Linked DNA regions of Bombyx mori. The protein of the gene in region 2 interacts with the protein of the main gene of each other region in a pairwise test. Links are inferred from orthologs where the notes say so. Each region holds a gene or a part of one and is shown on either strand. Other genes may lie near its edges.

Region 1 (17,218 bases), on a different chromosome or scaffold from region 2:
ACTGTCACACTGATAGATAATTTGGCAAAGGTTCCCACGATACATAAACCCTTACACATATACAGGGTGTTCTATAATTTCGTAATAAGGTAATTTGTAATAAGTTATCAAAATAGACCCGACTAGAACAACACTGGTAAATTTTATTAAGTAAATTTTACTGGTAATTCTTTCAAAGAAAGTTGTTTTTTAGTTAAAGTAATGCAAATAATTATATGGAATACTTCAGAATGAATAAACAATAAAAGGCTTAAATGCGTTTTCTGTTATACGTATATTAAAATATGAACCGATAAGATACCGTCCATGAGCGACGGTAACCACTCACCATCAGGTCGTCTGACTACAAGGCTATTAAAAAAAATACATTTAAAGCCTTTTTTCTCTTTTAAAATTAATATTAAAAATAAAACAGTAAACAGTATTAATAAACTACACAAAAATCAACTCTCTCTTTACTCAACGTCAGACTTGACTCTACTGAATGACAGTGAAGAAAAATCCTGTTTAAAAAAAGTTTTAAAGAATAAAGGATTTTCTTTACATGCATTTAAGATATTTTTTCAATTGGTGACGCACTTACTTGTCGAAGACATCCCGAACAGCCTTCTCGCTCTGCCCTATGTACTTGGAGAGAAGCTCTGGTCCTTTCACTGTTATCATGTGCATATTGTTGAGTCTGGCGAGACAGGACCCGATGTAGGACTTGCCGGTTCCGGGGGGACCGTACAGTAGGATCCCACAGGATTGTGACGGGAACAACGCTGGGTACTGTAATTTTTTATCTACTAGCTATGCTGATGGTCTTGGGAGGCTACTTCAGCTTCTCCTTGACATGTAGGTGATCTCATGGGGTTAAAACCAGAAGTGTTGTTAACACTGACCCTAGCAAGAGCCGCGCTTCGCAAATCTACCACCGAATCAGAAGCGCGACCCTCTGAGAAGATCTGGCGAGAAACTCAGGGGGCGGTATTGTAATGCCATAAACATCTATAAAGTAAATGCCGCCTCCACCTTGAGTTTTAAGGTCTCAGTATAGTTACAACGGCTGCCCCGCTCTTCAAACCGAAACGCATTACTGCTTCACGGCAGAAATAGGCAGTGTGCGGACTCACAAGACGTTCTACCACCAGTAAATTTTCAATTCAGCATCGTGTTTTAGTTAATAATTTAAAGTTGTCTGAAGTATTTTCTCTCACCATGACAGGCCAGAAGATACACTCCGTGAGTTCCCGCTTGACGTCCTCCAAGCCCCCCACCGGCCCCCATATGTCGAACGCGGTAGTTTTCTCCGTGTCCTTAGCAGTTTCCTCGACTAAACGAGGCTTCGCAATGTCTGGGTTCGCTTCTAAGAACAGCACAATTTGTATGTGTTTGAAGCTTATTCGACACGTGTATATACATTGTATATAACAAAAATAAAAATGTTTCTAAGCCACGATTTTTTTTCCGAAAAATCTAAACATCATTCTCCTAACCTTCTTCCAGTCACCTAGGATCGGCGCGACATGTTTTCTCTTTCCATACTCTTCTATCACATACCATTTATTACATATATCGTCTTTCACGCAATCCATCCATTTTTTATAGGTCCATCTCTTCCTCTATATCGTTCCACATTTATAGTTCTCTTACCAACCTCATTTTCATATCGTCTCATCACATCTCCCAAACGCGAACTTCTCAGCTTCTTTGTCACAGGTGCCACTTTACAACTTCCTCCAACATATGTATATCCGAAAGTTTCTACGACTTGCCTAATTCCGAAGAAAATACTAAAAAATCATGAAAGCTAGGCCATGTTACGATTTCCGAACTGTTAATTAATTACAACGTGTCGAAGGGTGAAATGATATTTGCTATAAGCGACATTTATTTTACTTTTTATTGCTTAGATGTTTGGACGAGCTCACAGTCCACCTGATGTTAAATGGTTGCTGGAGCCCATAGACATCTAGAATATAAATGCGCCACCCACCTTGAGATATAAGTTCTAAGGTCTCAGTATAGTTACAACGGCTACCCCATCCTTCAAACCGAAACGCATTACTGCTTCACGGCAGAAATAAGCGGGGTGGTGGTACCTACCCGTGCGGACTCACAACAGGTCCTACCACCACCAGTCAATACACGACATATTTTATTTTAGTAATTATGCTAAAAGTCCCTTTCATTTGGTATCAACATCAACAGTTCGATCAATTCGACAACAATCAACAAATTAAAGAGCGGACGGTTAGCGTGGCATGGACATGTGATGCGTAGAGAGGAGATGCATATGACTAAGAGATGTATGGAAATGGTAATGCAACGTAGAGAGGGGGAAGAGGTCGACCGAAGAAGACATGGATGGAGTGTGTGAATGACGATATGAGAGAGAGAGAGAGAGAGGAGTGAGTGTTGAGATGAAGGCTGATAGAAAATAATGGAAGAGAAAAATTAGCTGAGCCGACCCCACCTAGTGGGATAAGGTGGAGAAAAAGAAGAAGTTCGATGTTTTTAATTGAACTTCATTTAACTGTACTCCATTCAAATAGTTGAACTAGTATTTTTGTTACGATATTTTTCCAAATTTTAAACTTTAAATTACTCTCTTCTAAAGTCGCAAAAAATGTCGCTTAAACCAAATAGCCTTACACCCCTCAATATTATATTCATACATTTAATATAGATTTTTTTTTTCTGACATTGAAAATTAAATTAAAATATTTAATTTTAAAACTATGCACATAATGACTACATGGACAACGCAAAGGATTTTTCTGTTCCAGTTTTGTTCGTATTTCACGCAATACCGCATGACGAATCCGCGACCGATGATATCATAAATGCAGTTTTTACGTGAGCAAAAATAACCGAAGTCTCAACAAAAACACAGTTAATTATTTTTTTAACACGATTTAACATATTAATAATAATATTGTGGCGGGTAGCCATCACAGTACACAAGATATTTGACAGATGCCTGAATCTCGCTTACGACATTTTCAAGATAAGCTTGCATATACTGGGTATTAGGAGAACCGCTTTCGAAAACGAAAACAGACGATAGTACTAATGACACTTTTGATGATGGGACGGAAAAAAAATCGATCCTGATTTAAAAAAAAAAACATACTTTTAAAATGCTTTATTAGCATTACTTACACTCCATCATGTTAGTACAGCTAAATGAAACGACAGTTTCATAAAAAATACATTACTTTACTTTTTACAAAAAACCAGCAATGAAACACAAAAACACAAACAGCTGATGCTCGGGTCAACGAACGCCCGGGCGCGGCGCTGATACCGCGCTCCCCAAAATTTACAACTTTGTAGGTAGGTACAAAACTTTCGTTTTCGGAAACAGTCTCTTAACAACCAGTATACAAATTCCGAACAACAACATTCGGACCGTCGGTCTACCGAGCAAATCCCACCAGCTCGGTGGAAGATCTTCTCATTCGTTGTAAACCTCCACAATATAATTACACTTACTTTTCATCTTGACGGCTTTAAATATCTTCTTATTGAAGTGGTCGATGATGTCCCGCACTGTGCACGAGGCGGTGTCCATGGCCAACGTGATGACGTCATCGTCCGCTACCTCGAACTGCTGACGGATCTTCTCGTTCATCAAATGCTTGAACAGCTCCACTCTTTCATCCTGAAAATAAATTGTTTTGTGGTTCGAATGGGTGGACGAGCTCACAGCCCACCTGGTGTTAAGTGGTTACTGGAGCCCATAGACATTTACAACGTAAATGCGCTACCCACCTTGAAATATAAGTTCTAAGGTCTCAGTATAGTTACAACGGCTGCCCCGCCCTTCAAACCGAAACACATTAGGTACTGCTTCACGGCAGAAATAGGTAGGGCGTGGTACCTACCTGTGCGGACTCACAAAAGGTTATCACACCAGTAATCACAACGTCCAAACATTATTGCTTCGCGGCAGAAATAAGTAAAATTGTGATACCTTCCCGTGGGATTTCACAAGACGACCCATCGCCGCTAATTATTACCCACATTTTATTTTTACGGGTTTCATATTCATTGGAAGTGGAGCCTCATCTTATTTTTTAGAATTTGGAATTTTCACTGGTGGTAAGACATCTTGTGAGTCCGCGCGGGTAGGTAACCACCACCCTGCCTATTTCTGCCGTGAAGCAGTAATGCGTTTCGGTTTGAAGGGTGGGGCAGCCGTTGTAACTATACTTGAGACCTTTTAGAACTTATATCTCAAGGTGGGTGGCGCATTTACGCCGTGAATGTCTATGGGCACCAGTAACCATTTAATATCAGGTGGGCTGTGAGCTCGTCCACCCATTTAAGCAATAAAAAAAAACTGTTTGAAGGCGTCATTAGGCGTCATTACTATTATGAAAAAGGTAAAAAGTGTGACGTCATCATCATCGCCCCCATCCTATCCGTGAACACGTCGAACACAACATGTCGTCGTCTACTGTCTCACCTGTTCAACTTCAGGTATATCGAAGTGCGCCGTGAACAGCGGCTTCCCGTTGAACTGCCTGAGGACCGGGTGCAGGGACTTCATTGAGAGTGACGTCATCAGCACGCACACACCCGCGCACGTCTGCAGGAGGTGCTTGATGACCACGGCTAATCTAATAACGGAATAACATTGTACATAAGATGGTTTCTCCCCACGTTCTGAGATATGGACTATTTTTTTTATTGCCATATAGGCGGATGAGCATACGGCCCACCTGATGGTGAGTGGGTATCGTCACTCATGGACATCAGCAATGCTAAGGGCAGAGCTAAGCCGCTGCCTACCGTTTGATACCCTTCACAGGCCTCGTCTGAAGAAGGACATGTCACGGCGCTCGGGAAACACCGTGGAGGGGAGCTCATTCCAAAGCCGGATTGTACGTGGCAAAAAAATCTCTGGAAACGCACTATGGATGAACGCAGTGGCTCCAGGTAGTATGGATGAACTCTACTCCGATGGCGGGCGGTGCGATGGTAAAAATGAGATGATGGTATCATCTCAAACAATTCCTCCCCATGGAACATACGGTACAAAATTCAGAAGGAACCTAAGTCCTTCCGCAGACTCAGAGGTTCCAAACGATCCGTGAGAATAGGATGAACTAACATTTACCTCTGATAATACGCTATATCCTGGGGCGAAACTCCCTCCATATCGGGCGGTACCATGGAGTCCACGTCGTCGCAGATCAATACAGCCGGACTGTGCTCTTGGCACATGAGGATAGCTTTGCCCAGGATCTCCGGTATATCCTTACGGCCCCTGAGCGCCCTGCAGTGCAACGTATGAGACCAGACCGTCAGCTCCTTCTCGATTATGTGACACAACGATGTTTTACCCATACCACTGGACCCTGTCAACAAGTCGTCACATTCTAACACAAGCTCTTGCCTAGTTATTAATAAACAAGGTACAACTAAATTTTGTTTAAATTGTTTTTGAAGTGAAACTTCTATAGACGCGTTGAGAGTAAAATTTAACTCGCGACAGATTCGTTACGGCCAGAGAGAAAAGATACAATTTATGAAGAGCGAGAGTGAGAGAATAGAAAGAGCGTCTCGCGAACCACTCTACCGTGTAGAGAGAAAGTACAAAGCGAGCTAGGTCGTTTCTTGCCTTTGTAGGTAGACGAGCATACGGCCCACCTGATGGAAAGTGGTTACCGTCGCTCATGGACGTCAAAGTCATGAACGTCAATGCAATGCAGTCTTTTATACACAGCTTTCGCTATTACAAGAGATATTAATTTAGGGATGAAAAATGAAGAAAACCATAATACTAAACACCGCAAAAGAAGGTTCACTTCTTTCATGTGCACCAAGTTGTACGCGCACCATTTTTATTGATTTCAACAAGATAGTTAGGCCCGATATCCATAATATATCTCAACTTAAAAAAGACTTATCTCTTGTCGTTGATGGATTAATTGCATAATTTTCATATCAGAACGCATAATTAGAACCGAACTAGCTAGGAATTTAATTGAACTAGGAATTTAATGATTTTCATAATCATTATGAGCTTAGTTAAGAAAATTAGTGAAGTTACTTCATCTTGGAGAGGCTAAAAGAGATACACTGATAGCAGTATACCAATTTCTGCATACCAGTTTCTTCTGAAAATCAGTCCGATAGACTATTATCACGCAAACTCCTCTGACTCTGTGCCTGTGCTACGGATAATCGAGCTCTCTGGTACCAGAGTTCATTGCCATCAAAACGTGAATTGTCATTTTTGAAACAACAAGCTAAAGTCACGGATGTTGCCCGGCAAAAATAAGAATCTTACTGTCTAATGACGGTCCCACCCTTCAAAGCTTATAGCTTATACCTTACTGAGCTAGTATACCAGGTGTAAAACTATTAATTGACGTTAAAAAACTACACTTGCCCGTGATCAGAACGTTGCTTTTAATCTCTGATGCATTTTTAAACGTCGCCTCTCTATGTATTTCGAAATACAAATGCGAGAGAACTTTACTGATCAAAGTCTCTATTGATTTCAATGTCCTGCAATAGTTCTTGAAATCATACTCCATGCGGGAGGCGCTGCGTTTCGGCAGGACTAAATCCGTGTCGTTAAGGCACGTTGCCTTCGTAGTGAAATGCCTCAAACTCTCCGAATCCAAGAGGGTATATTTCAAACCGTCTGGTTTCAAATTGAACCGCAAATAACCATCGCTTATCTGACTATTCTGCTTAACTATGCCGTTATTTATTAAAAATCTTTTGCCTGAATGCGTGTTCTCTATGACGCATTTCTTGAATCTGTCTATAACATCGACTTCTGTTTGTTTTTCTTCTGTATACGTCACCAATTCAATGTGCACAGGTTGCTCTACCGTATCCCCGATTATGTTGAATATAATTCTCGTTCCATTCTCAATGTTGATAATGGCATTCAACGATTTCGGTATCAACACTGTCGGTATGTTTCTGTTGTACACTTCGCGGCTCAAGCTCCTGTATATGATACCGTCTATGGGCACAATTTCAACGCACAAATCGTTTATGGCGTTATTATTGTTCTCTTTATCGTCTTCATCAGTTTCGCTCAGAATCGAAGGAATAGAATTCATGGTCGATAATATAACAGTTAAATTTTTGAAGCATTCGTCTATTAAATCTTCATGTATGAAAACCGTGTAAGGATGTATCAAATTCTTTTTGCCGTCGCTGTCTATAGGTACCGAACGCAATACAAGCCTCTTTGGTGAGTTCAAATATGGACGAAGCATCTCTTCGTTTATTAAGCCTATATTTTTAAAAGGGCCATTGGGTTCGTTTGGCGCTGGAGGTTTTGTTTGGAAGCCTTGGTAGCTATTGAACGCGTTAACTTTAACGACTACGCGGCTCTGGTTCACTAGCAAGCCGGTCTGCTTCGGCGTGAAAACGATGGGCATCGATGAAAATATCCACACGACGCATTTTTGATGTGCCGCCACATATCGAAGCTGATCTAGTATTCGTAGCTGCAGTAATTCCGCATTGTGTTCCTGAATAATCAATCAATAAAAACATTAAGATATTCATTGTCAAGTCAATATTTTTTATATATATGTATTATAAATGTAAAAGTGTGTTTGTTTGTTGTCCTTCTTTCGAAGAGAAGCAAGGGATTGACATTAATTAAAAAAAAAAAATCATAGTATTAAGGCAAGGCAAGGCAAGAAAATGAAATATATAAAATGACAGACGTAATGCCTTGTAACATTGGACCAACATCACATTGACACATTTCCTTGACCATACGGCCGAAGCCTCGAGTAACAGCTAATATGCTTATAATTGTGAAGATGAGGATATTCATATCAAACTTTTCGAGCTCACACATAAACACTATAAATACATGGGAAAAAAATGACGTTCACTACTAATTATATTACAGATTCGTATTGCAGACGAGGCAAAAGCCCATCTAGTGTTGCGTGGTTAGTGAAGGCCATTGACATCAAAACGTGAATGCCGCCACGAATGCTTCAAAATTGTAAAGACACTTCCACCCTTCCAACTGTAACGCACAACTGCTTCATCATGGAAATGGGCAGGATGGTAGTACCAATCGATCAGTACGTACTTACACGCCTAACAACAAACAAAGTAATATGTTCACAAGAATTTTTTTACAGTAACATGCTGGCTGAATTATTTATCTACTAAATTATTCAATTTCTATTATTTGAAAATCTTTAAGATAGATACTTCACATTGAACAAACAAAAAAATATATAGCGAAAAAGTTTATCATTTATTTCTTTTTCATTGTTACTTCCACACCATCAAAACCTTAAAGATCTTACCAACAACTCCTGGTCATCAGGGCTGTCCGTATCTATATACAATTCATCCAGCACTCGCACATCACCGTATGGTGAGACAAACACATCAGCTCCCTCATCTAAGCCAATCAGTTGACTATGCACTGGATTGCAAGCTATTTGTCCTTCCGCAACACCACTGCTGTACACCACCCATAAAAACAGGTGCTTGTCTTTGTATAGAACTTGAAGGCACTGAGACTGTAAAAGATCTTTTTTTAATTCTCATGTCATAAATTTATAAGAAAATAAAAAAACAAAAACAGATTAGATTTGATTTTAGGGTACAGTATATAGGCTATATGACTCATCATTACACATTTTAAAAGGATCTACATTTGTAACTGTTCGCCAGTATGACTGTATTTATATATCTAATAAATGTTCTATTTGAATATTAAAACAATTTATTCTTTATTAAATCTAAATAATAGCATGTCTACAAACTACATAAAAAATTGAAATATTTTCAGAAAATCTTTTTTTTATAATTTTTAAACAGGGTTTATTTCTTAATGGGATCAATGACCATTTCACATATTATAATGCCAATTAAGCCAATGATAAACAAATTAATAACCTAAAAGTGAAATCTTTGTATTGATGCATTGTAATAAAATAAACCTCCTGTCTATCCAACATTTCATTATTTAAATTTTAATTGTTTTTCTTTACCTGTTCATTATTACTACTGTACTTTGGACTTATATATGCGAAGCAAGTTTTTTCGTGAGTAAACACTACTTTTAGTTTAGCACCTCCTAACATAATGAAATCAACATTCACTCTTTATTAATCTTATATTTCAATGCTCTTATGTGTAATTTGACATAATAATTTAATGTTTTTAAATTAACGATATAAATATTTAGGCAGTATCTTTGATAAATTTATGTAGGTCTAGACATAGATTATACACTTAATATAATTGAGAGGTCTAGACTTTACATGACAGACTTTTTGTTATCATAATCATTGACGTTCCAGCTTCAAAAAAAAATTCGATATCTTTAGCATACAGCAATGAAATTTAGCAAATAAATGCTGTTTACTTCTGCTTTCAAATATCTATAGTGTAAGCTTTCATACCACGTGCAATTTAAAAAGTATTGTAAAGTATAATGTTAAGCAAAACATCTCATTATGTTTCACACTTCACACTCTAAATGACTCAAAACGGCTGAGAGGAATAATTCGTCTATGTCTATGCAGTCTCTGACATGCTAAAAATGTTTATAATTTTCCAACCCACATTTAATGTCAGTCTAAAATTCCATTCCATTATTCTCAACTTTGTTAAGATACACATCACATTACATTTTCGTTTACATTACTCAAACACAAAGTATGATATTTTATTTCTAAAATTAAACAAAGAGTTTTTTTGTAGAATACGCCACTCTTGAGAACTTCTACAGGGTAGCTTTTATTAAGTCGGCAATTATGGGAAAAATTTACGTTAGTTTCACCTTCGTAAATCGGAACGTAGCTCTTGCAAAATCTATACTCTATTGGCTAGGCCATTAACCAATTAAAATTCAAAGCAGCTCAACGGTTTTTAAAGACGTATCTGTCGTGTCGTTGTTAAAATCTTTAGAATTTATGAAAAGTTTGCTCTAAATTCTCAGCTAGGAACCTAAAATTGTTTAATCAACATCTATAATATAACGGCTCGTGCCGTTAAAAGGTGAGTAGAAAATAGTCGTTAGAAAACCGTTTAACGCTGTGTAGACTTCGCTTGTTTTGCCTCCATTTTAGTCGTTAAACATGATAATTTTTAAATGCTTGTTTATGTTTTTACTTTATACTTCTTGTACACTTTATAAATGAACTACCTACTGAGTTAGATAGTACGTTTGTACAGCACGTGATTGTGAATCGTCTTCTTTATTATCACAGTAGGTCCGTAATGGCGCCAACAAGATTGGCAACGAAACCGCTCGGCGTCAACGAGAACCTGAACGGCATGTTAAGCCACGGCATTACGACGAGGAGTAAACAGCTAGCTTCTCTAAAGAGTCACAAGGACAGTCTAAAAATTCCCAATAAAAGGAAAGCGGACAGTCCTCTTAAAGATGTGACTGCGAAGAGGGCGGCGTTCGGAGATATAACGAACGCCTATAACAAATCGTGCGCGCCCCAGGACAAGGATAAAGCCATGCCAGTGAAGAAAGTCACTGTTGAGACCAAAATGCTTCCAGCAGTAAAGGTTTGTTGAACTCCAGAAACACTTCTATTCAGAGGGTATCTGCTTCCTTTCTGTATGTTAATATAAACTGATCAAGATTTACGTTTATAATACCTAAATAAAATTCTAAAGTTATTTCCCTCCAAATTTAAACAGGAGCATACTATTACCTTACAATATTATTTACAGCTGTTTGAATCATAAACAACTTCTTATTAATATGTTTTCTCCATATGATCATGTTAGTTGTTCATTACAGATTTAAAAATATTTTAACCTTATGTATTGCTTGTAGTTTTAACAGATTTTGAATAAATAATAAGCCTTGATTTAATTAGTTATACAATGGAAACAGTAGTTATAAAAGTAAGTCATAAGTAAGAATTTTTATCACACATGGCATTTTTATGATAAACTGGAAGATTAGGGATAAGTAAAGTTATTTCAAATCCACAATAACTAATCATTGATAGGCTTCATAGTCATAAAAAAGAAGATAGATACATAGTTTGAAGTGGTTTACTTGGTAAATATACAAATTCACCAGAAATGAAACTAACAATATTATCCATAAAACATTGTAAAATTGGTGTAACTTGCAATCTAATAATCAATATGGGTAATACCATACCTTCTACATCCATGGACAGATCAACTGCTTGACTGACCTATAATTATTGTGAATTATATTTTTCTTCTACAAATTAACTAATCAAATATTCTAAACATCCATAACTGGATGTCTGCCTATGTAAGTATGTATATAATATCATGGCTTTTATTATTTGTATCTAGGTGACAGAGGTGAAAGCCCTTCCTGTGTTAAGTGGTTATAAGAACACATTACTGTGTGAATACTGTTATTCATATTGAAACATAAGACCAAAGTCTTGGATTATATAATGGCTGATCCATCCTTAAAACTGAAATGAATGATTATATTTTATTGATTAATATGATTATATTTTTATTGATCAATATGAAGGCCTACCACAAATAAGCAGGACAGTTATACCTGCCGTTATGCCTTCACAACACTAACGTAGTACTAAAGGATTTTTTCATTCATTTCATAATCACACTATTGCTCTTTTTACTTAACTAAAGTAATGACTGAATTGAATGAAATGTTTGAAGAAATTGATTTTTAATTGGAATAGTTTAATAAACCTCATGAAATTCAAATGTGAACTGAATTTCTGTTAATATTGAATTAATTATAAAAACTGACCACTGAAATTCATTTTTTAATTACTATTTATTTAAAATGATACTTTTCATTAAGCTTCTTTCTTTTAAATAATGTCAATATTATTTAATACAAATAGTTATACAAAATATAATACAGATTAATTCATATTGAATTAGTCTGTTAATTAGCACCCTAAACTTAATGGGAAGAACCAATTTTCTTTTTTTATTGAGTGATGAATACATGGTAATTGTTTTGAGACGAGCAAGAGTACATAGCCAGTAGGCAACAACAAAGTTAGCTGTTCTGTGTAGTTTCACTTCTTTGATCTCTTAAATTGAACTTCCAAACTACAAATGTTTCAGAGCATCAAATCACAAACAAGCACACTAAATGGCAAAACTTCAAAGACCAAACAACTCCAGCGGGTAGCCAATAATGCTATTGATGCAGTACAGAAACATTTCACCAAAGACCCACCCAAGCAAGTGGCCACAAGAGCTCAGAATGGCATCCTGAAGAATTTTGAAAGGAAAGACAAACTCAAAGAGCAGAATCTGAGTAATGGTTCAGTCAAATCTGCAAGAAGTGATGTTTCCGGTGAACCCTCACTTTATATGACTGCCTTGGAGAATATGTAAGTACAAGTAGGTAGTTAAAAAGTAAATAGTATTTGAAACATATTCGAAAATTAAAAATTATTTTAACTCCACATTTTAATTCAAAGCCATGAGATATTGAGCTCCGTTCAAAATTCTCCAATTTAGCTAATCAGGAGTTTAGTATAAATCAATAACCAACCCCTACATGATCAAATAGGCAGACATGATTAGGTGGTATACCAGTCATTTATTATTAACCTATGCATATCCATTATATGCCACTTACTCTTGTTATTAATTGATCATGCATTACAATTTGAGGAGTAGGTAGCTTATTTGTCAACCAACTCTAGATATTTGCTGTCAAGTGACTCCAACCACCCATAAAACCTCAAGGGTACAAAAATGATCACCTTCATCATGATAGATTTAATTGATGACAGATAATGAACATGATAAATGAAATAGTTTACTGACAATTCAAAATTTATAAAAAAAATTAACACCTTATTTTTATAATGTTTAAAAACAAGGCGAATAAACATCACACCGATGGTATTTTTGTCTTCCATAAGCCACATTAACCTCTTTTTCAGTAGCCCATCTGAGGTAACTAAAGAAGAGTACAAACAAATCAGTGAGAAACTGAACAAAGTAAACTTGGATGACACATCTAGGTCTTTGGATGAAGAAACAGAGACCCCTCATAAAACTCCTTCTGGTGTTCTTGACTTTGACTTTGAGAATTGGAATGATCCACTCCAAGTATCTCATTATGCTATGGACATATTTAATTATTTGAAAAACAGGGAGGTGAGTTGTGGTTTTACATGGTTTTACATTTAAACTTTTTTTTATTTTCCAAATATCATTGGTTAATAAAGTATAATTTATTTCATTTTTATTTTAAATGAATTCTGATATATTAAGGTATTATTCATGCATTTACTACTCTTTATAACTGTTACTCCAGACAACAGTTGTTGTGTAATAAAATGAAATTAATTTCTTTCAGCGCCTTTTCCCTATTGACGATTACCTGAAACGTATGAATGGAATTACATCGTGGATGAGAGCGCTACTTGTAGACTGGATGGTTGAAGTTCAAGAGAGTTTTGAACTCAATCATGAGACCCTGTATTTGGCTGTGAAGCTAGTTGACTTGTTCCTTACTCGTTCAACTAAGAATGAACAAATAGAACAACTGACAAAGGAGGAATTGCAACTATTAGGAGCATCTGCCTTGTTTATAGCTTCTAAGTTTGATGTGAGTAGTTTTGTGCTCAATGTTTGTAAAAAAAGAGTAACAATAGATGCACAACACACCATTGTTTATATTATTGTGATTAAAACTTAAATTTATGGTATTAAGGTATGTGATGATCAAATTATGCCCTTCCTATTTCTGCTGTGAAACAATTGTAAAGGTTTAATATTAAATCTAGGAGAAGCAGATAATTTCAAACTTAAGCTCACAAATATTTTAACTGTGCATGCAAGTCAAAGCAACGTGTTGTCCAATCAGTCAAATAATGTACTTGTAGGAGCGCATTCCGCCCCTAGTGGACGACTTCCTGTACATCTGCGACGGGGCATATACGCTGAGCCAACTGCTTAAAATGGAGATGACTATTCTCCGGGTCATCGACTTCGATCTCGGCGTGCCGCTCTCCTACCGGTTCCTCAGGAGATACGCCCGGGTGAGAAACTGGGCTTGTTAGAATACAGATTTTTTTTTAGATAGTATTGTCTTACGTCGCCCATGTTAACACCTCTAAAAAAGAAAATTTCACAATATTATTACAAGACTGAAAAACTGTGTTGAACCACCGAATTTGAATTTGTGACACAAGTCTCGTTTTAGTACCACTGGTTAGTGAAACTGAAAAGCAACATTGTCTTATTATAATTGTGCACACATGTAAACACATTTAGTGTATTTTTTTGTATTATTTTGTGCCATACTGTATTGCCTAAGTAGTTTTAGTAGTATGACTCAAACACAGTACACAGTCTGATATATATACTACTAGACCATCACTATTATATTAAAACATTTCATATTCATTTGAAGAAAAAAAAAACACTATTTTCGTCAACAGAACATCATAATGTCAATTTAATTTTCAACAGTGTGCTCGTGTATCAATGCCTACACTAACACTGGCTCGGTTTGTGTTAGAACAATGCTTGTTGGAATATGGACTTATTGAAAATTCAGACAGTAAAATGGCTGCTGCTGCACTGTACCTTGCTCTCAGGATGAAGAATCTAGGTTCATGGACACCCACTCTACAGTATTATACAGGTAAATAAAGAAAACAATCAAGAGTATGTAATAATCAGACAGTTCATACAAAATTTTCAATGAAATTATACTGTTACTATAAGAATATAATTTCTATTTTTTAATAGAAAATAATTCAGAATAAATCATTCTATGTTCGAAAATAAATATAATGTACCTTTTATATTTTTCAGGTTACAACCTCAAAGAAATTCTCCCGATTGCATTAGCCCAGAATGCAGTTCTACACAAGAAGCCAAAGTCTGCGATTAGCACAGTTAGGAATAAATACTCACATACAATATTTTTCGAAGTTGCCAAAGTACCCCTAATAGACGAGGCGACGCTCACTAGCTGAGGAATAAGTACCAGGAATGTTGTATAAAGTTTAGTACTAGGGTATGTACTTAAGTTTTGATAGTTAGTTATACATGTAATCGTTAACAAAGCTGTTAGCCTAGTCGCCAAGATCAAGTTCTTCAACTACTAACTCTATCAGTTTCGGTATCTAGATTAGAAATTCCCTATACGCGTTCTCCTAAACCTAGCAGAGAATGTATACGACTAGGCTTGCTTTTACTAAATTTTACTGTCATAATTTGAAAATTATAGCTATGAAATTCAAATAAATATCTTCCTAGATAAACTTGCTTCGTCATCTGTAACACTACCAGTAAGCATTTATGTTATTATTAAATTGTCGAAGCCCTAGAGGGTAAAAGAAACAGGAGCGCCTGCCAAGAAATTGTTGCTCTCTTGAAAGTATTGTTCATACATATCTCTAGACTATGGTGTTTTGTACCAGTGTATTTGTTTGATGTGAAGACTGAAATATAATGTGACATAGCAGAGATGATATAAATTATATCTGGATACTAAGAGAATGTATTCTTACTTCTGTTAAGAAATAAAACGAAAATGAGTGAAGTTAAGTCATATTAATGATTCGGATTTTTTCTGCTAAAAATCAGTACCATTGGGAAATGTTAACCAAGAGTGTGCCATAATAGGCAAATGAAAGTCACAGAATCCTCTTCAACTATGGAGTTGATTACGGAACTAAAAGTTTCAAATATTGTTTAATTTGTATTTAAAAGAAAAACCAAAATCAGTAACCTCAAATAACATTTTGTACCAAAAATATCCAAATCAGATTCCATCTATTTTACAGTACTGTTTTTGATTAACTTGCTTTTGTTTAACAACAGTCTTCCTATAGAAAATTATAGGTAGTAAGTTTTGATAAAACTAGTTAATTATTTATTGTTTTATAATTCTCTCCGTACAGTCAATAATAAAAAAATCTTTAAATCAAAATTTATTATTCTTCAAACAATTTTAATGTTTTAACAGTACATTGAATGTACTTGTTGCTTCGAAAAATTTTAATTGGCTCGTTATTAACTAAAATTGAATATGATTTTGTTATTGATTGTACTTCATGTGCATTTTTAGAATTGCAAATGGTATTTTTTGGATTTGGTTTATCAGTAAGTTACGCTTAGACGTTTAGTATAATGATGCCTACTTAAAATACCTGAATAACTGATATGTGTAGGCTTAAAATATATTTTTAAAAGGTTAATTAAACATATTTAGAAAAAAAACGAAATTTATTACATAAAATTAGTAACTAAGTAGCCTCAATTTATTTAGTTAAAGAAGGATTGTATGCTAATCAGGACTATAGAATTGAATGAAAGCTTCAACGCAATTTTATACAAATGCAATTTTAGCGGATTTGCTAATATAATTTTCAATTTAAATTGTTATTAGAATGGATTTTGTAACATTTTTAATATTAATTAATTTTACATTATTTGTAGTTATTTGTGAGATTCACTTTCCACTGTCTTACGTTTATTATTATTTTTGTAATTTATCACGATTTTAGAGTACAAAATATTGGAATGTTAATAATGTTGTTCTTTTAATACTAAGTTTTTAGATGTAACTTTGAATACTGTTTTTTTTTCTCTTGATAGTATCTGTGCTCTAGTTATATACATGATTAATGTGAACCTACTGACTTGTAAATAAAAACGATTTTGGTTTGGTATTTTTATTTTTTTATTTATACTCCGTTTTTCAAAAAATAATAAAAGTTTTTTTTAATACATATAACAGAGAACAAGCAGTCATCTGACCCAAATTAAGATTCCCTGCGTTATGGGTAAATATTTACATATACTTAGTCTGGCCATAAATACTGTTACAATTAAAGATTAAAAAAATTCTATTGCAAATAACATTTATTACTTTTACAGTGTGTTAGTTTAATACATAAATATAAAACAATTTAAAGTATAAAAAGCTTCGAAGTAGTCTCCATTGGCTGCAATACAGTCCTTTAAACGTTGAGGCCAGTTATCAATAGAAGCACGCACTCTTTCCATGGGAAAATTTTTCACTGCCAATCGTACGGATTGTTTTATAGACTCCAAATTATCATGGCGTTTAGAGCAAGTCGTACTCTCTAAAACTGACCATAAATCATAATCCAGCGGATTAAGTTCGGGACTAGACGACGGCCAGTCTTCAGCTCTGATGAACTCCGAAACTTTCGTTTCCAACCACGATTGCGTAGACTGAGCTTTATGACCTAGCGCCGAGTCTTGCTGGAAGGACCATTCT
Region 2 (17,084 bases):
ATTACTCGACCACTTGTTTTTATTGGATACTTAATTTTTGGTAATTTAGGTTTGACTATAGTTTCATTACCTTCTTGAGCTTGTCTTAAAGAATCAGAATCATCGGAGATAGCTACAATTTTCTGTTCCATACATGTGTTGGGGTATTGAGATCTAATAGGTGCCACTTGACTGGGAGATTCATCTGCATCCATGACTTTTTCGTCGTTGTCTTTTATACGTTGACTCCTAAAGCTTATTGGACTTTTTATTCCAAATGACTGAGATGCAACGTTAGTATTTTCGCTCGCTTCGTCGTTGACCATTTGTTCATAAGATTCATATATTGTGTGGTCGTTAAAAGGCTTATTTCGGTTTATTTTTAAGGAGGAATCTAATTTGGACAACTTTTCTTTTATATTGTTTCTAACTTTTGATAAGAATGAATATTCTTCAGTATTTGGCCACGAAGTTGAAGTTAACAGTTTGTTTGCTTTATAGTTCGATGAGCTTAGTGAATTACGGCTTAATGAACTACCTTTGTCGCTTTCAATACTTTGAGCTTTAGAAAAATAGGGGAATTTGTGCTGGAATTTTAATTTATCTTCATCGCCACGCGTTAGTTCTTTTAGATCTTCTTCATATTCCATTGATTTCAATTTAGAATTAATTTCAGAATCTCGTACTTTTAAAGGCACTAGTGCACTTAGCGACTCATTAGTATCAGTAACGGAGCCTAAAGATTTTCTATTATCTGAATTCTCATTAGATAGAGGTGTAAATGATACTTTAAACTTGTTTTCTTTCTTAGCTCCTATTTTTTTTATTTTCGTATTTTGTGTGGAATCCCTTAAAGCTGCGCTTCTAGAAAGAAGATCAGATAATCTACTGAAATTTTGTTGTCGGTCCGGAGAATTCACTGGTGGGTCAATATATGCCATCTTTAATTCAGGAACTTGGATACTATAAGGTATAGGAACGCTAGCCGCTGTTGGCATTCTAAATTTTTTCATTTTGCCACTATCTACGTGATTCAGACGTGATGCTCCTAATTTGGTGCTTTTATCATCATTAAGACGAGATACTTTCTTGACCTTAGAATTAACATTCAACGAATGAGGTGAGCTGCGTAAATTTCCACTTTGCTTATCCTTAAATAAAAGTTTACTTTTCGACATAAGCCTTGTCTTATCTAGAAGCTGTTCCTGGAATGAAGTAAGGCGATCATTAAGGTCGTATTGAATGCCTTTTAACTTTTCACTAAAATCATCCCTAGTTCCCGTTAACTTCTCCAATATATCATGTGATCTTAACGAATCCCCGAAAACGTCCATAGAATTAACACCATATAAGGAGCTCTCAATTTTTTCTTTCATATCCGCAAGAGTATCTTCTGCACGTTGTCGTAAATTATCAGTTATACTCAAAATATCTGGTTCAAATATTGATCCTCTATTGAAATTTATTGGATTTTGTAATAAATTGGTTGTGTGCAATTTCAGATTTTCTCTAATTTCTTGTAAACCAGGTAAATTTGGCATCGGGGTAGCATAAATTTCATGGAACCTAGATTTTGATTGCGGACCGACAGAGAAAGCAGTCCCAATGAGACCTTCTCTGTTGCCTAGACTCGATTCGAATATCAAAGGCTTCATACCTAGATTTTTAGGAATAGGCAATTTGGCTCTGTAAGTTTTTAAATCAACTCTCGGTATATTTTTCGGAAAATAATTAGGTAATGTTAGAGGTTTTAACTGGAATATATCTAGATTAACGTCTTCAAGTGGAGCCAAAGGTGACCTCGATCGTGACATAGGCGAACTCTCTTCTGCTGTTATCATTTGACTTTCTCTAACGCAATCTATTTGTTCCTTTTCGGATTCTCTGTCGTGTGGACTGAAAAACTGTGTCACTTTTTCTTTTATATTATCAAGCGTTGGTAGAATTAAACCAGTCCCAGTTTCTGATCTAAATAAATCAAAGTTAGGTTGTACTACTTTATCCACAGAAAGCGCTGATTTGAAATTATTATCTCGTAGATAATCAAACGGATTACGTTGGATACTACTCATAATGGGATTACTTCCTTCTGCTGTCATTTCAACTGGATCCGCCCCGACACTAAGAATTCGTGAACGATTTTCTTTTTCCGGCTGGTTAGAGACGCGAGCTTTTGTACTATCTTTTATAGAAGTGTCTCCTTCGTCATTCTGTAAATCATCTTTGTTAATTAAATCACTCTGTAGATTGTTAACCACTATTGTAGCGTCATTTGGCTTAGGTAGGCTGGCTCTACTCGCTTCACTCCATTTTTCACAAACAAGATTATTTTCATCTTTAGCACCGTTCTCACCAGCAATACTCAATTTTAAAAGTGTGTCGGATAAATCCTGTAAATCATTCATGCTCATTTCACGAGAAACATTATTTTTGTCAATTTTCGATACCCCCGATTTATTTTGTAATTCATAATTTTCATTAAAAGTGTTCTGAGCTTCAATAACATTGCTTAATAGTGAACGTTCTGGGTTTTCTTGTGTTGAATCACTCAAAACATTTTGATTAATTAATGAATTCTTTATAAATTTGTCTTGTAACAAAGGAATATTGTTAGAAAATTCTGGCTTTTCGTCTGCACTGTGAACATTTTTTTCATTTCTGTTTATATATTTTGGAACAGTTTTCGACAATTTGTCTAAAACAACTGTTTTAATTTCAGTATTTTCTGGTATCATATCATTCTGGATGGAATCTTTTATATCTTCTTCGTGAAATATGTTACTAGTATTATGTTTGTTCGTTGTGTGACTATCGTTGACCCTTGTTCCTTTATTCCAATTAGAATGATCTCGATTTGGAGCCACTTGAAATAGTGTATTTAATAACTCCGTATTTAATATTTCTTCTGAATTTTGGGACCTGCTAAAATTTTCTGAACTAATTTCATTGCTATTAATAAATTTTTGAGCCTCTTCGTTTAAATTCTCAAATGAAGAGTCATTTAATAGTTTTCCCTCTGTGTCATTCATAGTGTCACTCTCATTAGAAAGATCCATTGTTTTATACTCATTAGTAGGCTGAGCGACTTCCTCTTCCTGCCTCTGCCTACTGCTCTGAACAGTATCTTCCTCTTCATTTTCAGTATCTTTGAAATCGATCCACTTCCGTTTATTGATATCGAATTTCAAACCATTGTTTGTTAAATCACTAAGAATTGATTTTCTATAATCTTGTTGTGAAGCTGAAATTTGTTTTAAATTCATTTTACCATTCATTTTATCAACTAACTGAATTCGCTTGGGAAGCTCTCTTAATATTAATGAATTATGAAATAAAGGGTTTTTATTCGCTGTTGCTTTTGTCATCTCTATTGATTCGAATTCATCTTGACTCCGCGCAACATTGGCATTTATGTCACTGGCTGCTAAATCTAAATCATTTTCGACGCCTTCAGCTTTTTTAATTTTCATCGACTCAATTATTTTTGTACTAAAATTACATTGTTCCTTGTTCAATGCTTCACTGTCGTCAGATTGATGAATAATAGACTGTCCTTGATCCTCGAAAAATTCAGTGCGATCTCGTTCTTGGTTTGTTAATGGAGATTTTAGCATGGGTGCTTTATTGGTAGTCTCTTCATTTCTTTCCAAAAATTTACTAGTGCTGACACCGTTTCCCACATTCAAAAGCTTTTTTTGCAAGAACGTTAGGCGTTCGACTTGAGGTAATCTTAAAATATCATTTAAACCAGAATATGTTTTCGATTGTATTTGCTTTTTGATTGTACTCCCAAGTGGGTCAAGATATTTAGATTCTTGAGAATTTTGAGAATCTAGTGTCTCTTCGGTATCTCGGTCGTCTACAGATCTCTGCGGTAGTATAATGGTTACAGTATTCAGTGCGCTTTCTTCTGGAACAGCGTCGTCATTAGCATTGGCTCTCGCAGCATCTCTAGCAAGTGCATCTTGGTATTCTTCTTCAGTAGCTTGACGCAGAGTCTCGAGAACAGATGAAGCTAGACCAACTTCTGGCTCTAGCAGATTCTTGGGGTCTTCTTTGGGATCCATTAGTCTAAACAAAAAAACTCACTGTTTGATCTAATCATTTGGAATATGTACCTAAAGGGACGATTCGATCATTAAAACTGATATATTTTGCTAACGAATCGAAAACACGCTCAGTACATTTTTGCAGATAATGAAGACATCCGTATAACTTACTTATAAATATACTACTTTATACTGGGGCTGAGAATTATTCTACTTGCAGCAAGCGGGTACAGACGAATTGTATATAAAAATACATTCAGTGACTGATTCTACCAAATACAAACGAAAACACAGCATTACGCTAATTTGGTCACAATTTATTCACTTGTTAGGTGCTTGTGTGAAGACAATGTATACACATTAATAAGCCAGAAATTTTCACACATATACGAATTGAACTATAGTTTTTTTTTCATAATCACTACAATTTTTCAGCATACTCTTACCTGGTGGCAGCTCCAGACCGCAGTGCAGTTGGGAAGATCATAGATGACGATCCTTCAGAATCCCTAGGTAGACATGGACATTCGTCATCGAGATTCGTTTTCAGAGAACCGTCTCCGGCAGTTTTTTCAAGCCTCCAACTGGTTTTTGAGGTTGAATCAGCATTTTCGGGGCAGGGACAGCAATCACTGATGTCCAATTGTCTTGACTGTCTTCCATCTTGAGTAGTCTCCGCTGTGATTGGTTGTAGTGAAACCTAAATATTGGATCATACGGATAACATATACTTTTGATATTCATAATTAAATCTCTTTTTTAGTAAACCTTTTTTCCGTGGTCGTCAGAGGACAGCATAAAATCACGGGTCAATTAAAAAAAATGTTTACGATAAATTTTTATGAAATCGTGTAGTAATTTACAATTTCAATTTCAATTTCAATTCAAAATTTCCATTTATTCTTTCCCTAAAAATCTTATTTGAAATTTTACGCACTTTTGATCATAACACAATGCCACATACGGTCAGTCCATGAAATACACATACCAAAACATACATAGTATTTCTTTGATTTGTTTTCAGGAAATCTAAATATGTATGTCGTTTAAAGCCCAATTGCCGAAGCGTCACTTTTATTTTTATTTTATTGCTTAGATGGGTGAACGAGCTCACAGCCCACCTGGTGTTAAATGGTTACTGGAGCCCATAGACAACTACAACGTAAATGCGTCACCCACCTTGAGATATAAGTTCTAAGGTCTCAGTTTAATTACAACGGCTGCCCCGCCCTTCAAACCGAAACGCATTACTGCTTCACGGCAGAATTAGGCAGGGCGGTGGTACCTACTCGTGCGGACTCACAAGCGGTCCTACCACCAGTAAAACTTTGCAAACTATTACTATATTACCTTTACCATTTGAATAGCACTTGGTGTATACGAATCACGTAACCTTTAGGTCATGTAGTCTAATTATTGTTAATGAGTTTTCTAAACGAGGCTGGATTATATAAAAGAAAGTCTAGCTACAAAGAAATGTGACAAATTAACTATTCTCAAATAAAACAATAACTAACTTAAGAAACAAAACGCAGCCAACTGGCACTAATAAATAATAATAATAATAAAATGGGAAATCGATCAATCAATCCAATCTTAGCAGTGTTTGTTATTGGTCCCCAAACTAGAATTTCCTACACAGTTTTAGACTTATTTTTTTACTTTTGTTTAAAGTCCATGTGTAAATATTATACACCCAAACAAAAATTTAAAAAACATGTAGAGCACACGAATGTTTGCCCGATGTGGGAATTGAACTCAGGACCCTCGGCCCAGCAGTCAATGTCGCTAACTGCACAGCCGTATCAACGAAGTGTTAGATATATTTATATCGCATTGGATAAAAACATTTACTCTACTCGCATTATTAAATAATAATTGTACGTACATAATCAACAGAATAATTAAGATAAATTAGTTATTTTAATTTTGAAAAATAAAATATATAAACTATAAGTTTAGGTTTATTGTAAAAACGTAATTTTAGTTTTAATTAAAGTTACTTATAAATAGAAAAGCTGTGTTAGCTCACCGCCAGTTGGCAGCGTTCCCAGAAGGCTGGCAGCATTTCCACGCTGGATAGCAATGCTAATTCTTTGTGCAAAATACGTACCGGCCTTCTGGTCTCCCGAGGCCTCAAATAGTTTTCATTATTCAAGAATTCGCATTTCATTAATCAAGAATCGAACAGGGAATTACGTCTGTACGAACTACGCCCAACACGATTCCTCTTAAGCCAGGCTGAATATTCTTCCAGCAGTACATGCTACTTAAAATTTTTTTAAAAAACTCACCCTTCCTATCACGAGAACATTGGTTACCAGCACAAACCGCCACATTGTCCACACGGGCTGACATTAGTGAATAATATCGAATTATCAACTCCATCGCCTATATTATATTCATATTGATAAAAATACATGTGTAATGTCACGCTTGGCCGTACATACGTGATTTGAAAATATGCTGAGCTAAACAGTATATAGTTTATCAATTTAACGTTATCTAGATTATTGACCCACAAGTTAAAGTATGTAATATAAATCGCCGTGTTCTATTGTAAATAATATAGTGCATATTATTGATTCTCAGAAATTTGACTGCATGATGTTAATGCGTTTTAGCGGTAGGCAGTGGCTTGGCTCTGCCCCTGGCATTGCTGAAGTCCATGGGCGACGGTAACCACTCACCATCAGGTGGGCCGTATGCTCGTCTGCCTACAAGGGCAATAAAGAAAAACTTTAAATAAATGGGTTCAACGTACAATGGGCATTGTCAGAGTATTTTAATGCTTTTATTAACAGCATTTCGTGATTGTGTACCGGTCTTTATGCATTGCTTGTATTTTATGACATAGAGCCGGTACGGGAGTTTCCACCATATTACTTGTTTCTGCTGCAAAACAATAATGCGCTCAAGGGCAAAAGTTTACATAGAGTTCAATTGAGAAACAGATTAAATTATCTGTAGAATTTGAGTATGATGAATTGCTCTCATTACCTCTCTCTGGCCGAAATCTTGGACCTTATTTTACCTTAACCCTTAAACTTTAAGGGTTAAATCAGACGGCATTTTAATAAAAGCAGTCGCGATCGGGAATCGAATAAAATTAAATCCGATATCAGTCTGGAAATACCAAAATCGGTTCAAATTTGTAGGTACCTAAAACAATTATACGACTAGCATTTTTAGAATTCAAAACAATAAAAGATTCTCATTTATTACTTTAAAGTACAGACTGTCGCTACAATAATGGCGGATATGAATGAAACACGGATATCGAGCAACGATTATTGGATATTTTGAAATCAGACTACCTAGTTAAGATATAAAATGTTATGCGATCCAATAAAAACATAAAACACGTTTGAGGTCTTAAAATGAGAGAAATGAGAAAAAAACGCGTTTATCGCGGATATAAAACAAGCTATAGCAAAAAAAATCTAAGCCTAATGTGATGCCTCGAAAAAAAGATCGATTGTGACTATTTATGACCTTAAATCAGATTGAAAACCATAAACAGTTATATTTAGTTAAGCTTTGTTTTCCACACATTAGGGTACCAACAGATTCATTTCTAGTGTTGCACGACGAAAACTACTGTAAAAATAATGTATCGTTGCTTTCCTGTGTAACTCTTAACAAAATAAATAAATTAATTAAACTAATATTTATATTTTACTTTGAAATGATTCAGTTTGCATTATTTAAAATAGACTAATGCTTACAACGTATGTATGTACGTCTTGCTTTTCAAATTAATCTCTCTTTGTTTGTCTATGATAATGTGTTCCGATACCATTCATAAAACATCAAGCTTTTTGATATGCATTTTTAGTGTTCTAGTACTATCTCATTCTAGCAACAACAATTTTGTCTATTGAAGTAGCACATTTATGCTATTCTAAGCGTTATTTAACTCTGAAACAAGTTAGTCATAAACAAAGCATAGACACATAAATTGACATAAATAGTCCACTTCGAAAATTTTCAAAAAGTTTTCGTTTGAAAGACGTTGAAGGGATAAACGTTAGAGATTGTAAAATAGTAAAACATTTAAAATATTTCCTAAAAAGAACAGAAGTGACTTGAATTAAGGATTACAGTCAAATGTTGAGACATTTATGAATTTAAAACACATAAAAATTATTAAAACACGCATTTTGTAGGAGTAAGAAAAATTGCATGGTGTTGTGATTTTTTTGTTGTGGTCTGCATAAAACCGCCAAAATTCCTTACTACAAGATGGATGATTTCTTAAAGATAGAAAAGATCGGCGAAGGTACTTACGGTGTCGTTTACAAAGGAAAAAACAAAATAACTGGTCAATTTGTAGCCATGAAAAAAATTCGCTTGGAGTCCGAAGACGAAGGCATACCATCCACGGCAATAAGGTAAACGACGTAAAATTGAATGAATTACTTGCACAAAAACAATTATATTAATTAAAAACACATTCTCATGCATTTGAGAACATAACCTATATTAACCAGAACTTCTTGAAAACATTTCAGAGAAATATCTCTACTTAAAGAACTGAACCACCCTAATATTGTCAAGTTGGAGGATGTCCTGATGGAAGAGTCGCGACTTTACTTAATCTTCGAATTCCTCTCTATGGACTTGAAGAAATATATGGACTCCCTTGGTTCTGGAAAGGTAACATAACCATGCCTTAAATTAAATTTTACAACAAACTATGACGCCTGTTTGAAGTGTGTCCACAATCATATAAATTGTAGTACAATGCTTAAAATATAAAAAATTGTTAATTAGGACTAGTTGCATCTTTGGAGTTTTTATTTCTGAAAAAAAAAAACTTTTTTGTTTAAATAAACTGCGAAGGTCTCCTGAGATAATGCGTCAGCAGTTGACCATGGCTGGGATTTGCCTCTAGAATTGCTGATTTCCGCAAGACCTAGATACAACTCACCATCAGGTGGGCCATCTATAAATGCAATAAATAAGTCACACAAGACAAGGCAAAGTAATTCTTAATGTTAAATTTTGTAACAGAGTAAATTTTTGTAAAAATATTGGTTATCATTATTTATTTTCAGTTCATGGACCCATCTGTAGTTAAGAGCTATCTATATCAAATCAACAATGCCATCTTGTACTGTCACCAACGACGGATCCTGCATCGAGATCTCAAACCACAGAACCTACTCATCGACAAGACTGGAATCATTAAAGTGAGAGTATTTTATGGTGATATTAATAATTGCAAAAAGATATTAAAAAGTGCTAAACAGTGAGTCTTGGGACCAGCAAGAACCCTCTCGATAATTCTAGACTACTGACAGCCTTTTTATCGTTTTAAAAAAAGTTGTAAATCAAAACCAGTAACATGAAACTATGGACGCTATATAGACCATGTATATTGGTGTTGATACTGACTGAACAGTGTCAGTGCTATTACTATAGGTCAATGTGAAGGCCTTTTTTTTCTACCTAACCTGATAGCCTTGAGAGGCTATATCAGCGTAACCTTAACTAATAGGTGAGCTCACGGGGCTCAAACCTGATGACGTTGCTAACACGAACCCTAGCAAGAGCCGTGCTTCGCAGAATCTACCACTGGATCAGAAACGCGACCCACTGAGAAGATCCGGCGAGAAACTCAGTGGGCTGTGTCTGAGGGTTAATTTACTCGTCGAGCCCTTCGTCGCAAGCGACGGGTTCGACGAGAACGATGATCGGTGCTTGAGGTACCTAAAAGTACTGTTAGTGGATCGGGAGGATCCGAAATGACGTGTGTGAAGGCCATGTCATAGTATATTTGTTCAAAATATAGTTTTACCAGTTTGAAAAGTCAAACACTGACATTAGACAATGGTCATATAGTTTTATTTTCTTCATAAATACCTAATAAATTTGTGACAGGTTGCAGATTTTGGTCTTGGTCGAGCATTCGGTGTTCCAGTGCGGGTCTACACACATGAAGTTGTCACATTGTGGTACAGGGCTCCTGAGGTCTTACTAGGAAGTCAAAGGTAAAATCTTATCCAAATCAGTCAAAACCAGCCACTACAAACTCCAATATAACTTTTCTATAATGAGTAATCAATACACATTAGTTGTAATTTGGCCCAATAATGAAATGTATTTTAGAAAAAACATTTTGTTTTAAGAGCTTTAGACTTTGTTTTCTAAAAAATGGCAAGTTGCATTGTAAATTCATAGAATAGTGTGGCAATACATTGCCACTAATTGTTTCTTAATACAAAAGAATGGTCAGTGACCGTGTGGAGTTCATTATTTGGTAGATTATTTATTTATTTATTATTTATTTTGTATAATAGTAACTTGTCTTACTTTTAGATACTCTTGTCCAATTGATATATGGTCAGTTGGCTGTATATTCTCTGAGATGTCATCAAAGAAGCCACTGTTTCAAGGAGACTCTGAAATTGATCAACTCTTCCGCATTTTCAGGTGAGTAGGCATTTCGCCATTTTAGTGGTAGGCTTTGGCTATGTATTTCTGAGGTCCATGAGCAACGGTGACCACTTACTGTGATGCTTGTCTGCCTTAGATTTATTAGAGTTAAATCTTAACAACAATAATTGAAAAAAAAAAGTTTTTTATGCTCCCTTCAACAATGGAATGTAACTGGTGCTTAGAATAAAACTCTAGTTTTGGATTAAAACACAGATTGAACACTAACTAAAATATGATGTGGACATTCAAGTTTTGGTTGTTTTTTTTGGGTGTGCAATTACTACAACAACACTTATATAACAGTTAATAAATTTTAAAAAAACCTGTTGTTGGGGTAATTAAATTATAATAATACTATTTCAACTTGATTGAGTGATTTCCTTCCAATAAAAGAATGAATATAATGAAATGTTTGACTTACATTTACAGGGCAGTAAATATGATTATAAATATGTAATTTTGAAGTATGTAGAAAGAAATAGAAGACTAGTTTACATATTGTTAGCCTCTAAAACTTCTGTTTATCCATTCCATTCCCGGATGTACCTCCACTTTCTTGCGACCTTGCTTATACCTGATATTAGCTTAAATAAAACAAACTATATGTGTAAATTCAAATCAATAAAGTGTGAAATTCTGAACAGATAGATTTGCTCCATGCATAATTTCCAATGAAATGGAGATACATGAATGAACTAAACTTCTAATATGGGATTTGTGACTCCCAATTTTTTTTGAGTTAATTTTTCTGACTCATTTTCCAATTTCGTTTATGATCAATGTATATGGTATCTGCTGGAGTACACTTTTTCTTATTAGTAACTATTTAAATCACAAGATCTCTTAATTTATTAACAGAATGCTAAGAACGCCAACAGAAGAGATATGGCCTGGTGTTTCTCTCCTACCAGACTACAAGCCAACCTTCCCGAACTGGAACACGTACAATCTGCACAATCATGTACGTATGAAGCATATTTTATTTTAGATTTTTATATGTCTATTGTTCTTGAGATATTTCCAGATATATGAAAAACTAATTGAATTCTATTACATAATGAGTGACACTACTCCAGCTAGCCAAGATATTCCCTTGGGATTTTAGTGAAAGTTTATTTTAGCAGAACCAGCTGTTAAAAGTTTTGTGTGTGTGTGTGTGTGTGTGTTGTATAATGTTTTTTTAATATATTTATTCTGGACTTTGATGTCCTGTTTCTGTCGTGAAGCACTTATGCGTTCCAGTTTGTAAGATGGGACAGCTCTTATGTGATTTATATTGAAACTTCGACCTCATATCAAAACTATCTTTCTTCACTTTCTTTATCGCTCAGACTTGTGATTGAGCATGTGGCCCACCTATAATAACGGTAACGGAATCTAATAAACAGCATTTATTCATGTCATTAACGACACAAATGCCGCCACCCATCTTGGAACATAAGTTCTGAGTCCCAGTTTTACAGTACAATAGTTGTCTCGTCATTCAAACCAGAATACGTTACTGCTCGTGCGGACTTACAAGACTCCCCAACACCATTTAAGCTATATTATATTATACTAGTTATTATCAATGACGTGACTGAGTTAAATCTTTTCTTCCTACCGTCAATTGTAACGTGCATTTTTTACAGGTACAAAACCTAGACGAAGTGGGCATGGATTTGTTACAAAAGATGTTAGTCTACGATCCGGTTAAAAGAATATCCGCGAAGGACGCGCGACGACACAAGTACTTTAGAGACGTGAAACTACCTCCCGGACTGACAGTGCACGACGCTTACATCAGAGTGACGCCAGAATACCCATACGACACGGATTCTGTTCAAAGTGTATAGGAGACACGAATCATTAGAACTAGGTGTCATTTATAAAGACTACAAATATATTTTCAGAACGAATACAAAGTACAACTCAGTTGGGCTCCTCTGTCGCAATCATTGCATTTTAATTTGAGAGATTTGAGGTATGTTCTCTATACTGTATTCTCCACAATTCGCATCCAATCTCCTTATAGTAGAACCTTAATATTTAAATGTACTTTATTTTATCGAATTTGATCTAAAAATTAAATTAGTCAATTCAGATTATTGAAAAACTAAGACTAGTAAACGCGAGACGTAATTTAGTTAAAGCTTTGAACTTAAATAATTTACGTAAAGGCTTTTTAATGAATTTGTGTGTCTGTGAAGTTGGGATTTTAAACCGTCGAGAATAAATGAATAGATGTGAGTTATTTTAAAGCTATTTCGGCGAAGAGCTTAATTTTTAAATCAAGTCACTAGGTTTTAAATAGTGACCATAGAAAATTATTGTTTGATTATTATAGAAAAACGTGTCATAGTTTGTTCGAAGTTGTACAAACCTTCATAGTTTTAACTTTGAATGTTGGTTTCGTTCATTACCTTAACACTAATTTGAGAATTATTGATAGTTAATTAACCTTGAATAAATTAATTCTCGTTGTCTAATCGTGTCGTGTATACATCTTTGTGTCGTTTTGTCATGTTCGACTTATGTTATAGGATAGTATTTAATTATTTCTTCTGTAATAATATTACTGCCAAATAGTTGTCTTCATTGAACTGTTTAATAAGTTTTTACGAACGCTGAAATGCTTAATAACCTCAGACACCAAAGGCTAAAGCAGTAAACTTAGTGCATAAAAAACTAACCACAATAGTTTAATTATCATTACAAACTAACTTTGGATTTGGATAAGGGTTCCTTTCGACTAAAATACCTGTTTAATAATATATAAAACTTGCAGTATTATCATTCACGCCTTCAAAGAAATATTCTGGAGCTTGTGATGATCATAATAGTTTGTTAAATATAGTTTGATATGCGGCAAATGTGATTTATAGGATTATAAGTCCCATTCGAATAAAATCATTTTTGAAAATTATTATTTTTCAAACTATTCGCTGTGCAAACTCCCGGCGTATCAAACTGTTTTCAACAAACTATAGGACTCTGAACGGTTTTTACATACATTTATTAGTAATGCATTTGGAGATAAGTTTAACTATATTGTTCTGTATGCTGTTGAAACATCGTGTGACATGAGAAGTATTTTATATGTATTTTCATGGAAACTTAATTAATTTAAACTTAATTATCTGTCCAATTCATGTTCTTCATACACTATTATGTCATCTAAATAAATAAATACATAAGATCAATAGGTTGTACTGCAAATATTTCTTTAGTATAACAGAATTATAAATTGAAATTGTTTTAAATCTCTTCAATTAATATCTAATACCAACAACGTGTTTCTTTTTCTTCTAAAATAATTGTAAACAGTTTGTTTTTAATAGTAAAGCATAATTATTTATTTAATTGATATATATATATTACATGTTTGACGTGTGGGTGTTTTAATAAATAATATGAAAAAAGACGTTTTGATAAACTTTTGACAAGAAACAAATGTAATATTATTTTCTTAAGTTTTTGCCAATTTCTCTGGACCGCTCATAAGTTAATTTTATTTTTAATTATATGTAATGGAATGTGTATTTGATTGATAATATTTTTAAGCATTGTCTTAATTTGTAAAGTATAATAATAATTTTAATATAACTGTGTTGTTTTACTGAAACAAGAAAGTTAATTGACAATTCGTTTATTTTTTTCTAATAGAGCTATGATCAAAATTGTACATAAAATATACAGAAGAAACACTAAAGCTAAGTCATATGCTATCACCTCCTGAAAACTATTACAATATAAAACCTAATTATTATTCTGGTATTAAATAATTTACTACTGTAAAAGAAAACGTTTGATTATTATAATAATACAACAATATCGACTTTGAAAATAAAATTTAAGAAACAAAAAAATAAATACAACTAACAAATATGGGTAGCAGTACTTTAACATATGTACTTTCATTGCTTTTAAAATCCTACAATTATTATTATAATAATAAGTATTTAATTTTATTTACAGATCTATAAAAATCAACAACAAATTCTGATAAAGCTACTTATATAAAGTATGCACCGCAGACTATATTTAATTGACAGGAAAAGTACGAATAAAAATCGATTAAAATATCACCTCAAAATTTCAATCGATTATTCGATTTTATTATTAGTGATGTATGAACACGTGAGGGTGTCCCGGTTGAGGCTGCAGTATGATGCGATGCGGCACGTTGATCTCCTGCTGGCCCAGGCCCGACACCGCCACCGTCCCCGGCTGGAGCTGTTCATACAATCACAGTATACTGATACTGGTGGAGGGACCTTTTGTGAGTCCGCACGGGTAGGTACCACCGCCCGGCCTATTTCTGCCGTGAAGCAGTATTGCGTTTCGGTTTTAAGGGTGGGGCAGCCGTTGTAACTATACTGAAACCTTAGAACTTATATTTCAAGGTGGGTGGCGCATTTACGTTGTAGATGTCTATGGGCTCCAGTAACCACTTAATATCAGGTGGGCTGTGAGCTCGTCCAACCATATAAGCTATAAAAAAAATCTCTGTACTGCTAACTAATCTAAAGTGTAGGACGAAGTAATTAAAATTTAGACCAATTGTTTCACGTTGAAGTGTCCTGATATGTTTTTAGACAATATAAATAATCGACTATTAAATATTTAATTTCTTAGGAAAATTAATTAAAAATCAACATATGTCCTTTTTATATTCCTAAAACAATCATATGGTTGTGATGAGACTTAATACAGTTATTTTTTTCTACCTATTCTAGTGACTTCGAGGGGTCATACTATTATGACCGAGTACTAGTATGAGTTCACGGGGCTCTAATCTGAGGACGTTGCTAACACTGACCCTAGCAAGAGCAGTGCTTCACAGAAACTACCACCGGATCGGAAACGCGACCCACAGAGTTATTGTCTGCACACCAAGGCACTGTCTTAGCACTATCACTATGTAACGAGTGGGCTCATATAATCGGCGATGGTCTGCCCGTAATGAGTTTCACTTGAGAAATAATTAAACAAAGTGCCTATTAAGGTTTGTTTACCTGTAGAATGTTCGGGAGCATCGTTTGACAGGAAGAAGTGGCGACGTGAAGCTGTTGTTGTTGCACTTGTTGCACGCCGACCGCCTAAACAAAATTTTGAGTCTCTTAAACATTGTTGTTTCAAAAGCTTGAGGTTTTTACTGGTGGTAGGACCTCTTGTGAGTCCGCGCGGGTGGGTACCACCACCCTGCCTGTTTCTGCCGTGAAGCAGTAAGGCGTTTCGGTTTGAAGGGTGGGGCAGCCGTTGTAACTATACTAAGACCTTAGAACGTATATCTCAAGGTGGGTGGCGCATTTACGTTGTAGATGTCTATGGGCTCCAGTAACTGCTTAACACCAGGTGGGCTGTGTGCTCGTCCACCCAAAAATGCAATAAAAAATGTAGATCATCCTCATTACAAAATATACTGCATTCATGAAAACTGCGATAAGCTCGCCTTGTGCATTCTCATGCATAATAATCAATTAAACGGTTATTTATCAAGAACGGCCCACTGACAACAGTGTCGCAGCTATCTGACCGCAACAAAAGCCTCATCATATCTCTGAGATCAACAACACGTACATGTATCTGGATGGGTTGATGCGACGGATGGATCTGGATGGTCTGCACTTGCAGCTGCTGCGGCTGTTGCTGGAACAAAAGTGATCACCGTGCTATATATACTGTCAGTCGACAACCACTCGCACGACGATTTAACACTAATCATACCAACCATACCAACACTTACTGGTATCTATTTCTACCATAGCGGGTAGATAACGGTATACAACAAGTTTTACTCAAAATAAACAAAACAAAACAAAAAGAAATAGCATAATATTATAACAGTAGATTAACGGGTAAGAAAAAAGTCATGAAGTCAAATGTGCAAAAGCAATAATGTGCACAACTTCAAAATGGGTCCTTTGAGCCGTTACGGTATGATTAGTGTTAATGTTTAACTTAAAAATAATATTTTCGGAATCTATATTTAATAGTATAAAGAGGAAAGATTTGTTTGTTTGCTTGTATTGAATAGGCTCCGAAATTGCTGAACCGATATGAAAAATTCTTACACTGCTTGGAAGCTACACTATCCCCGAGTGACATAGGCTATATTCTCTTCTTTTTTTTTAATTAGCGATCATTACTAAAACTCCAGTACTGTAACCCAAGGTGTAAAAAAATTATTAGGTGTAAAAATATATGTTATTTAAATGAAAATAACAAATTCATTAAAATAATAATAATATTCAAACCATCTTTATATTTTTTTATTTTATTTTTAAAAACCTAACGCAAATATAAGGGTTAATGTGTGTGTACGAGTATTATAATTTTTTATTTTGAAATTTTTGTTAAAGACCCGAGCGAAGCCGGAGCGGGCCGTTAGTGTAATATATTTAACATCTCCTAGTGCCTGCCTAGCTTGATATTATATATCCTGTATACTACCAAAACATTATAAGTCGAAGCCTCCAATGAACACTACTCTAACTAAAAATTTTGTAATTGTCGTTTTTCACGCAAATCGCTTCATTATGTTAAAATTATTACAATTAATCATTATTGATGGGGTTCGAAGCAAGAGTAAATCAGGTAGTTACACAAAAAAACCATAAATATATCTGC

The links.
Region 1: the proteins of Cdc2 (region 2) and cyclin 3 interact in binary tests that used the Drosophila melanogaster proteins (3 or more experiments, as listed by UniProt). The link is inferred for Bombyx mori from reciprocal best matches to the Drosophila melanogaster genes Cdk1 and CycB3.

The regions. Positions count from the first base shown.
Region 1 is NC_085110.1:17,324,387-17,341,604, forward strand, and holds cyclin 3, read left to right. Parts: upstream 1-9,825; 5' UTR 9,826-10,002; intron 10,003-10,212; exon of another isoform or gene 10,213-10,214; 5' UTR 10,215-10,224; coding exon 10,225-10,524; intron 10,525-12,060; coding exon 12,061-12,332; intron 12,333-12,893; coding exon 12,894-13,110; intron 13,111-13,312; coding exon 13,313-13,564; intron 13,565-13,841; coding exon 13,842-13,997; intron 13,998-14,430; coding exon 14,431-14,605; intron 14,606-14,778; coding exon 14,779-14,942; 3' UTR 14,943-16,643; downstream 16,644-17,218. Other genes in the region: peroxisomal ATPase PEX1, read right to left, coding at 584-771, 1,200-1,348, 3,481-3,649, 4,457-4,610, 5,111-5,351, 6,389-7,493, 8,298-8,516, 8,991-9,083. UniProt on the Drosophila melanogaster protein: Cyclins are positive regulatory subunits of the cyclin-dependent kinases (CDKs), and thereby play an essential role in the control of the cell cycle, notably via their destruction during cell division.
Region 2 is NC_085122.1:10,041,216-10,058,299, reverse strand, and holds Cdc2 (cell division cycle 2), read left to right. Parts: upstream 1-8,262; 5' UTR 8,263-8,273; coding exon 8,274-8,422; intron 8,423-8,542; coding exon 8,543-8,687; intron 8,688-9,088; coding exon 9,089-9,223; intron 9,224-9,914; coding exon 9,915-10,024; intron 10,025-10,352; coding exon 10,353-10,466; intron 10,467-11,330; coding exon 11,331-11,433; intron 11,434-12,103; coding exon 12,104-12,307; 3' UTR 12,308-13,311; downstream 13,312-17,084. Other genes in the region: uncharacterized protein LOC110385314, read right to left, coding at 1-4,050, 4,475-4,728, 6,323-6,367; zinc finger protein 431, read right to left, coding at 14,574-14,687, 15,470-15,553, 16,035-16,103. UniProt on the Drosophila melanogaster protein: Plays a key role in the control of the eukaryotic cell cycle. Required for entry into S-phase and mitosis.